2 linked regions of the Rattus norvegicus genome follow. The protein of the gene in region 1 purifies or fractionates together with the protein of each later gene. This does not show direct contact. Links are inferred from orthologs where the notes say so. Each region holds a gene or a part of one and is shown in the gene's direction. Other genes may lie near its edges. The genes, in order: Por and Emc4.

Evidence for each region.
Region 2: the proteins of Por (region 1) and Emc4 purify together in Homo sapiens (affinity purification with mass spectrometry; 3 studies listed by BioGRID and IntAct, with this or other methods). This does not show direct contact. The link is inferred for Rattus norvegicus from reciprocal best matches to the Homo sapiens genes POR and EMC4.

What each region holds. Positions count from the first base shown.
Region 1 is NC_086030.1:26,632,766-26,637,364, reverse strand, and holds the start of Por (NADPH--cytochrome P450 reductase), read left to right. Parts: upstream 1-1,555; 5' UTR 1,556-1,616; intron 1,617-4,599. UniProt on the Homo sapiens protein: This enzyme is required for electron transfer from NADP to cytochrome P450 in microsomes. It can also provide electron transfer to heme oxygenase and cytochrome B5.
Region 2 is NC_086021.1:119,626,070-119,630,677, reverse strand, and holds the start of Emc4 (ER membrane protein complex subunit 4), read left to right. Parts: upstream 1-1,559; 5' UTR 1,560-1,682; coding exon 1,683-1,768; intron 1,769-2,070; coding exon 2,071-2,185; coding exon of another isoform or gene 2,186-2,193; intron 2,194-4,608. UniProt on the Homo sapiens protein: Part of the endoplasmic reticulum membrane protein complex (EMC) that enables the energy-independent insertion into endoplasmic reticulum membranes of newly synthesized membrane proteins.

The sequences.
Region 1 (4,599 bases):
TACAAAAGGCTTGGTCTTGAATAGGAAAATAAAGCTATAATATATGAATGAATGATTATGTATTAATTAATAAATATAGAGAATGGTTTCTGAGAGAACTTGCTCACTGGTCCAAGAGGAATTTGTAGCAGAATTGCCTTCTTTTCTTCCTCCTCTTCTTCCTCTTACCCTTCCTCTTTCTCTTCTTCCTTTTTCTCCTCTTCCTCATTCTCTTCCTCCTCCTCTTCCTCTTCCTCCTCCTCTTCCTCCTCCTGCTCTTCTTCAGAGACAGTGTCTCACTATGTATGCAGCCTTGATTGGCCTAGAGTGCTCTATGTAGACCAGGCTGGCCCTGAACACTTAGAGATCCACCTGGTTCTGCCTCCCCAAGGCTGGGCCATGGCAGAATGTTAACAACTTATTTTAAATGCATTTATTTATTTGTGCATGTGCAAGGGGCACGCATGTGCCAGAAGACAATCAGAGGGAATCAGTTCTCTTCTTCCTTGTTTGTCCTGGGCATAGACCGAGCCAGGCTGAACGGCAAGCCCCTTTACTCAGAGAGCCATCTTGATGACTCAAGAACGTTTACTAATAATAGTAATAGCCATAAAGATAAAGCTGTTTAGAACAAAGGTTCTGCCCCCCAGACCTTATGCTCCTGTTACCCCAAACCTCCCGGGGGTTAGAGGTGGGATTATAACTCCAATACAACCGACTCTTTTCTTCTTTTGATTTTTTTTTTTTTTTGAGAGTTACTCGTAAGTAGCTAAGGCTGGCCTCAGACTCAGTACTTGAGGCTTATTCTCCTGTTTCAATCTTCCGAGCGTTGGGATGGAGAGGCATCAAGCATGACTGCTGGTAGCCAGATTTCCAAATACTATTGCCTTCGCCTTTCCCCTAGCCACTTCTCTTCCTTAAACAGGTTAGTTTTCAAATCTCAGTGGGTACCCCCGGGGACCAGCGGTGCCTCTATGGGCCTCACCATTTTCAGCTGACAAAAGACATGAGATCACAGGTGAGCTGAGGCCAGCAGCAGGTCGAAACACGAGGTGGCGCACAGCCACGACCCAGCATTGACCCAAGAGACCAAGCTAGGCTGCCAAGGGGCAAGGCAGGGTCACGCAAGCACAAACGTCGGTCAGAGCTGTGCAGGCGGGTAGCCAAAACTAGGATCCAAGCCCAGGAATGGGCGGAGCTTCTTTGAGAGGAGAGGGGGGCGTGGCCCAGAATCGGTGCTAGGCTTGGGGGCGGGGCTTCTCTGAGGAGAGAAGAGGGGCGTGGCCTAGAAACTGAGCATCTGAACTGGGCGCCGCCGGGCTGCGAGGCGTGCCTTTTCCGTGGAGCGGATGAAGGGCGTGACCTAGGAACTGAGAGCTGGGCTTAGGGGCGGGGCCCACCAGGGCTGTACCAACAGCAGGGATTTAGAAGGGGAGCAAAAGAAAGAGGGCCTGCCTCAAGAGCGCGCGCGCGGCTTTTGTGGGCGGGACCTCGGCGGTGTTAGCCACGCCTCACCCCCGCAGCCTTCTGGTCGGTGGTAGCGCCTCAGTGGTGCGGGCTTGCGTCCGGCCCCACTGCCTCAGAGACCTACAGGACCGCGGGCCGTGGGTGATCTGGTCGGTACCGGAGAGCGCAGGGTAAGTGAGGAATGGGAGACCTCAGGGGAGCTCCGCGATACCGGGTCACCTCTTGTCGCTAAGACTATCCGGTTTGTGACTCCCGGGAGGGTTTTTGGGCCGATCTCCGCGCGACTCACCCTTGCGGAAGGCGAGACTTCGCACCTCGGCCCTTCTCCCGTGGTGGCGTTTCCCACCACGACCTAACCTGTCGCGGGGCGTATAGAGGGTCGTTCTCCCCATAACTGCCTTCATCTGAGGGTCGGATCTTTGCATCTGCGGCCAAAGATTCGGTCCTCAGGACTCCTGTCAGGCAAAGCAACATTCCCTCTTCAAGCCTCAGTTTCCCCACCTGTGCGACGGGACTTTTGGGCAGCAGATTACGAAGACCACTCACTTTAGAATGAGCTCCATGAGGGCGAATAGGACCCGGAACAATCAGGTGGACTCAGTGGAGGTGTCACCCTGCGTGCATCCCTGAGGCAGTCCCCCTCCTGGGACAGTGCCTACGACACACCTTTGTCCCGTTCGCTTGAGCAGCAGTGACAAGCTGAGCTCTTGGGAGCCACTGGGTGAGAGGTTGTGGTCTGCTGAGCAGCAGGAGCAGGGCATCTTCCAGGGAACTTAACCTGGATTGGCTTTTTCCTTCTATCTCATTTTCTTTTCTCAAGACGATTCAGCATTGTGTAAGCTAGTGACCGGACCGGGACAGAGGATTTCAGGGACATTTCAGTGAAAGTGATGTGTGTTTGCTATGGACCCATCCAACTAAGTGGTTCGCTCTGAACCTGACCATGCTGCCGGAATAATGAAAACACAAAGGGAGACTCAACTGGTGGGGGTGGCCCTGAGTTCGAGTTTTACCACCTTGGCAGAACACATAAGTTCTTTGAGCCTCTGGTCTGTCAGCTTCCCGACCCTTAGGGGTGTGTGTGTGTGTGTGTGTGTGTGTGTGTGTGTGTGTGTGTGTGAGACAAGGTTTTGTATGGAGCCTAGGCTGGCCTGTACCTTTTTTTTTTGTAGCCCTTGAACAGATTGATTCTGTCTCAGCCTCCTGAGTACAGAAATTGTAAGTGTGTGCCACCTGGCCTGACTAGGGTTGTGACATTTTGAGGACAAGAGATAATCCTGGAGCTGTTCCAGTACTTAGGAGGTTGAAGCAGGAGGATTGCTTGAGTTCAAGGTCAGCAAGTGCCAAGTCAGGGCTGCGTATTGAGACTACTATATCAGTAAAACTGAGGAGAGGAAAGAGGCTGTGATCCTGGCTAGTGGTATTGAGAACTGGGCTGGTCTTTGTAAGCCAAGTGGTTATCTAACCCTGGAGATTTGTTCTTATTACACAGGGCAGTAATTCCTGAAGCTGTCTGGAACTTTGGTTCATTAACCACACATAAACTCTTCCCTCACAGATCCCCCCTGAATGTTGATCTCTGACTTGGCTGCTAGTGGAAAAAACAGCTCAGAAAACCCAAATACTAAAACCAGTGAACACAGAATGGTCCACCTTGCTTTTGTTGTTATTCCAGTGGCTCCTTTAAGAAGTTCACATTTTCTTTGGAAAGTGAGTGGCTCTTAACTTTCATACCCTCTGATACTGGAATTGGTTTCATTGAACACGTTGCTCAATCATTGTCAGAAAGTGGCCAGAAAACAGGCCCACACTGGAGAGGATGGAATATTATCTTATTGCCCTCACATCTGGCATTTGAGAAAGGAAGAGGTAGGTGTAGACTATAGAAGATTCCAGAGATGGACTTTGGTACCTGGAAGTCACAGGCTTGTGGTAGCCAGGACGCCTCAAGTGAAGACATCCTGATAGTAGGAGTTTATAAATGAACATCCCCGAGAGATGTCTGTGGTCTGATAAACCTAAAATTGTAGGCCTGTTCATTCTGGGTGGTTAACTCCTTGAAAGTCAGGATCTTCATTCGTTAGGAAAGTCTCTGTGTACTTAGCAGAGAGTCTGTTTGAGAAGAACTTCCTCCCTGCCAGGAGCCAAACATTTACTTACTAAGTCCATGAGGCATTTCAACATTGCAATATTAACTCTGGTTGTTCTGAGATGAGGGTCTCAGGTGTCCCGGGCTGACCTTGAATTCCCAATCCTCCTGCCTCTGCCTCCTAAGTGCTAGGACTAGAGCCACCTGCATACAGAATCTAGTTCTTAGGGATGTCCCCTCTTTGTGAGAGCTAACCCAGTTGTCATCCTCTTTGTCATTGGAGAGGCCTGCTGTGTAAGCACTTGCCACATCAGGCCAGGCCTGTGGGCCTCATCTCAGTGAGATGTAACTTTCCTTAGTTTATTTCTTCATTGATTTTTATACGGGTACCTATTGTCTGTTGAGTACATTCCTTCATAGGCCCACCCTCGGGACTCTGTTCTTCCTTCTCCCCTTTACATTATAAACTTTGCTAGACATGTTGAACAACCCACTCAAGAGCTCCTCTCAAAAGAAGAAAACCAAAAAGATACAATCTCACAAAGCACCACAGAGTACACATACCATCTTGTATGTCTTACTACATATTTAATGTTTGTTTCTTTGTAAAAGAAACAGATAATTTGTATCTTAGAGACAGAAAATACCTTTTCATTGGGTTTTTTTGTTTGTTTTGTTTTTAATTTGTTTTTGTGACAAGGTCTTGCTAAGTAGCCCTGGCTGGCCCAGAACTACTTATAGAACCTAGTCTGGCCTCAAATCCTCCTTCCTCAGCCATGTGTTGGGTGTACAGGGGTAGGCTCCAGCTTGCCAGATCCTCACTCTCATTTCTTAGACATGCGCTATAGCGTAGAACTTGTCTTTCCATACACTTCTGTTATTTGGCATCTGATAGACATCTGGATTTGAGGCAGCTGGTTTAGAAGCATTGGGTCAAAGGTGGCTTATCTGCTAAGACAAACCATAGATACAGGGCCAGGCTCTGATTTCTTCATCAGTAAGGTTGGAGAAAGAAACCCTGTTCCATCAGTCTTCTAGATTAGCTCAGAAGCTTACTTACTTTT
Region 2 (4,608 bases), on another chromosome or scaffold:
CTCCCTAATCTTTCCTAAGACACAATTTAGCAAGTTACACAGTGAAGATTCTTGGGGTAAAGGAATAAATTTCCTGGCTTACTCCCTGAGGACAAAGTAACTGTGATTTATAGTTTAAGCTATCATATAAGGAGAAAATACTTTAAGTAGAATTATGTGATTCTAATGTTTTTAAAACATGTTCGTTCAAAATTTATTAGCACATGAGTACCCTAAGAATTAGACATTACCTAAAAACTATTACTTAATACAATATTAACATTTATTTTTTGTTTAACATATGTATAATTGTAACCTATTTCTACTGTGGCATATTTAATTACAACTTTTTAAACCAACAGTTTTGCTTTCCATGGCTTAGGTTATTTGCATGTAGTGATCCTAGTTTCAACTGTGTTTCACAAACTTTAAATGGAAAATTCTATATTAATGTTTTAAGTTGCACTGTTCTGAATGGCATGGTAAAATCTCATGCTCTCCACCACTCCGCTACTCTGGATGTAACTCATAACTTTCTCTTCTCTGCACACAGAACTGCAAACTGGAAAACGATGTGGAGGTGGCCATCTTCAATGTGTTTAGATCACCGTTATCTCTAAGAGTCAAAACTCTCAGTTGCCCAAGGAGGCATTTTCAGCCAGATCCTCAACCACTCTTTCACCATAGCCCTTTCCTCTAAACTCCAGCCATAATAAACAACTTGGGAATAATATTAATAAAGGTAAATAAAAGAAATAAAGAAAACTACTGTTTTTGAACTGATAATTTAAAAAGTAGGCATTTAAAATAATAATTCTTTAAAAATGTACATACTCTTTGGTGTAGCAATTCCACTCCTAATTCAATAGGTGCCTTAAATGATTTTCATACTAACACTGAATTACAAAAGGGGTGAGACGGTGGAAACAATTTCCCAATAATAGGCTAAATTACAATATAGACAAGTCATTGGATAGAAGTTTCATTTTCCAGGAATGATAATGAATGACGAATGATAAAAAGAATTAGGTCTAGGTTCCAGGTCCTATTTAATCTCACAACAAAATTAGGCGACTATCGATCTTTTTGCATGAGGCAGGTGGAGCAATGAATTTAACCTAGTTGAGGTGGCACGGTAAGTAGTGAAAGTCCTTAACAGACCAGTTAAATCCTGAACCCACTTGTCTTTCCATTCCTGGCGCCTACCTCGTTGGGTTAGTTTGCGAACAAAATGAAAAAAAAAACATTTAAACAAGAACAACAACAAAACAAATATATAGCTGTGCAACACGTCGACACATAGTACTCAGAGGCTGAATAACTCGCTCAAGGTCACCCAATTCCGGATGACCCCAGAATTAAAACAGGATTTCAATTTCGTGCTCTTCTTGGCTTCCATTCTTGTCATTTCGGACTTTTCCAGCTCCGTGATGCATACCTAAGAGACAAGAGCACAAATGAGAGGTGTATTCGCAGAGAGGTTCCAGAAAGCTAGTCTTCTGGGTCGTTTTGAGGATTTTCTAAATCCAGATACTCTTCCTTCTGACAGAAAGTTTCCGAGGGACGCGTGACGTTAACATTATGCGCCGGAAGTGCACTGCGGCGAAAGCAAGGAAGTCGGACCGCTTGCGATCTCCGCTAGTTCTTAGGAGCCGAACTCAGCGGCAGGAGGGTGACCGCACTTTTAACCAGCGGCTGCTGTCATGACGACCCAGGGGGGCCTGGTGGCCAACCGAGGCCGGCGGTTCAAATGGGCCATTGAGCTGAGTGGACCGGGAGGAGGGAGCAGGTGAGTTTCTTAAGCTCGATGTCTTACCCTTACCCTAGAACGACCCGAGATCCAGGGAACTAGGGCCTCAGGTATAAGTCTCCGACACGAGTGGGTGGCACACACATGTTACCCGAGGAACTCTTGTGCTGTGGAAGTTATTTTTCCCCAAGGATCTTTTAGTTTTTACCAATGAGCTGAAAACTGAAGAATGCACGAGAGGATCTAATTTACATCTGAAGTTCTTTCTGTGGTCGATAGGGCTGAAAACCCGTGCTTGGGAAGTCGTAGTTTTAGTCTCTTGATTTGGTTTGGTTCTTTAGGGGCCGAAGTGACCGGGGCAGTGGACAGGGAGACTCACTCTATCCAGTCGGTTACTTGGACAAGCAAGTGCCTGATACCAGCGTGCAAGAGACCGACCGGATCCTGGTGGAGAAGGTACAGAGGTATTAGATGTAACTGTAGCATTTGGACCAGTCCTGTCTCACCTTACTCTCTGGAGTAGAGGTAAAGCAGCTGGTCACTACCTGAGTGTTTGAGAGCCACAATGCTTAAGATTTATATTACAGTATCTTACATATATGTTCCCTGACATAATTTCAGTGTGTCGGGATATTGTGTTACTTTTACCTTCAAAACATCCCAATCCTGCTATCATTTCTTACTGCCTTCAACTGTTACATCACCAGCAGTAGACTAATAATCGATCAACTGTCCCTCCATCCCTCTATTTAAAATAAAGCATGGTTTCTCAACCTCAGTACTGTTTTCTATTTGGGGGCAAGTACTTCTTTTGCGGGGGAGAATTATGTTGGGTACTTACTGTAAGATGTTTTAGTACTCCTGATCTCTACACATTAGGTACCATTATGTTATTCCATTATTGTGTGAACTAAAGATGTTTCCAGCATTACCAGATGTTTTTCAGGCGGTCTAAAGAGGTACACTTTGATGAGCTTTAGCAGTGTATACCTGTGATGAAACTGCTCGCTTTGAAAGAGACCTATATTCAAGTGTCCCCCTTCTCAATTTCTCAGTATCCCTTCCTGTATAGAGTTCTAATGTGTCTTGTTATGTTCTACCTTGTCCTCCCTGTAGTCTCCAAGCACAGCCATCAAAAATGATCCCTTTAAAAGATGCCAGGTCATCCCTACTCAAAATCAGTCTAAAATTCCATGCTCATTCAGCATTAACACCAAGTCTTTTTAGTATTAGACATAACTCTGCATGTACCAGGGAGTCTGTTCCCTGTAGCATCTGTGGCCTGTCTACCATTTTTACATTTGTTTACTCTAGTCATAATGATTTCCTTGTTGCTATGTAAGGATACCAGATAAATTCCCCTTGCCTGCCTTTTGTGTGTGTTCTCTATTCGTAGAATGCTTTTCCTCTGGATTCCTTCCTAACTGGCTTAGTTCTTCTTTGGGGTCTCTCTAATATTATAGTCAAGACTTTTCCTGTGCTGCTGTTTCATTTGTATGTTATGGACATATCACATGGCTTATGCTAGTTACCATCTTAGTACTCTTGTAGACTAGATTAGCAGGAATTTTACAGCAGAAGTGTGTCCCAAGGGTTTAGAGGGGTCCTTGATATTTTCCTTCCTTTTTATACTTCCCTCCCAGCCTTAATATTGCTGAATAAACAATTTTTATTCCATGGAATGCATAATTTATATACATGGCTATTTTTACATAGATTTATACTTTGTTAGGATTAAGTTTTTCTTTTAGATTTATTTTATACATTGCTGTGTGTTAGATTTATTTTATACACATCAGTGTTTTGTCTGTACATATGTGTATTGTGTATGCCTAGAGCTTTCAGAGGTTAGAAGGAGGTATTGGATCCCCCAGCACTAGAGCTGTGGATCATTGTGAGCCACCATGTAGGTGCTGGGAACCAAGCATTGGTCCCTTGAATAAGCAACAAATACTGTTAAACACAGAGTCCTCTCTCCAGGGCCTTTGCTAGGAGTTTACATTAGATTCATAGGTAACATTCATTTTGTATATATAAATATACATGCAAACACACATTTCTCATGACAGTCTTTTTTTTTTTTTGGTTCTTTTTTTCGGAGCTGGGGACCGAACCCAGGGCCTTGCGCTTCCTAGGTAAGCGCTCTACCACTGAGCTAAATCCCCAGCCCCTCATGACAGTCTTTTAAGGCTTGAGTATTTCTGGAATTTGAATTTTTAGTTTTGTTTCCTTCCAAAGGAGTTTGTGTGAGACTTGTATTTTTAGCTTTAAATGATTAGAATTTGCCAAGGGAAGTGATGATTTGGGCTTAATAATAGATAGAGTCAGCCTTGCTAACTGCCATGGGATTCTTTTTCCTTTTTCTTACGCAATTTAAGTCATGTTTCTAGGAATGTATCCATTTCCTAAATTTTCAAATAGTCAAAGAGTTTAGAATATGGCGAGTGTGATGTCTGCAGGATCTATAAAGCTGCCTCCTTTCCTCTGGACATGGAAGAGTTTTCATGTCTAACTTGTCAGGTTTACCAGAATTGAATTTACAGTCCTGCAAAAAGACAACCTTATCTTTGTAATCGCTTATTTTTTTTTTTTTTCAAAATCCTTTAGTTTGTTCTTTGTCTGACTTTCATGAAATAGACGCTGAGTGTTCTCACACATTCTTAAGATCATGGATTTCTAGCTAGGAATGGTATGGTGGTGCCTATCTACAATCCTATTAGCTTTGGAGGATGTTATAAAAAAGATCTCAAGTTGGAGTTCAACCTGGACATACCAAGATCTTGTCTCAAGTAACAAAAAGATTATAAATTTCTCAAAACTTGCTGGGCAGTGGTGGCACACACCTTTAATCTCGGCACTTAGGAGGTAGAAGCAGGCAG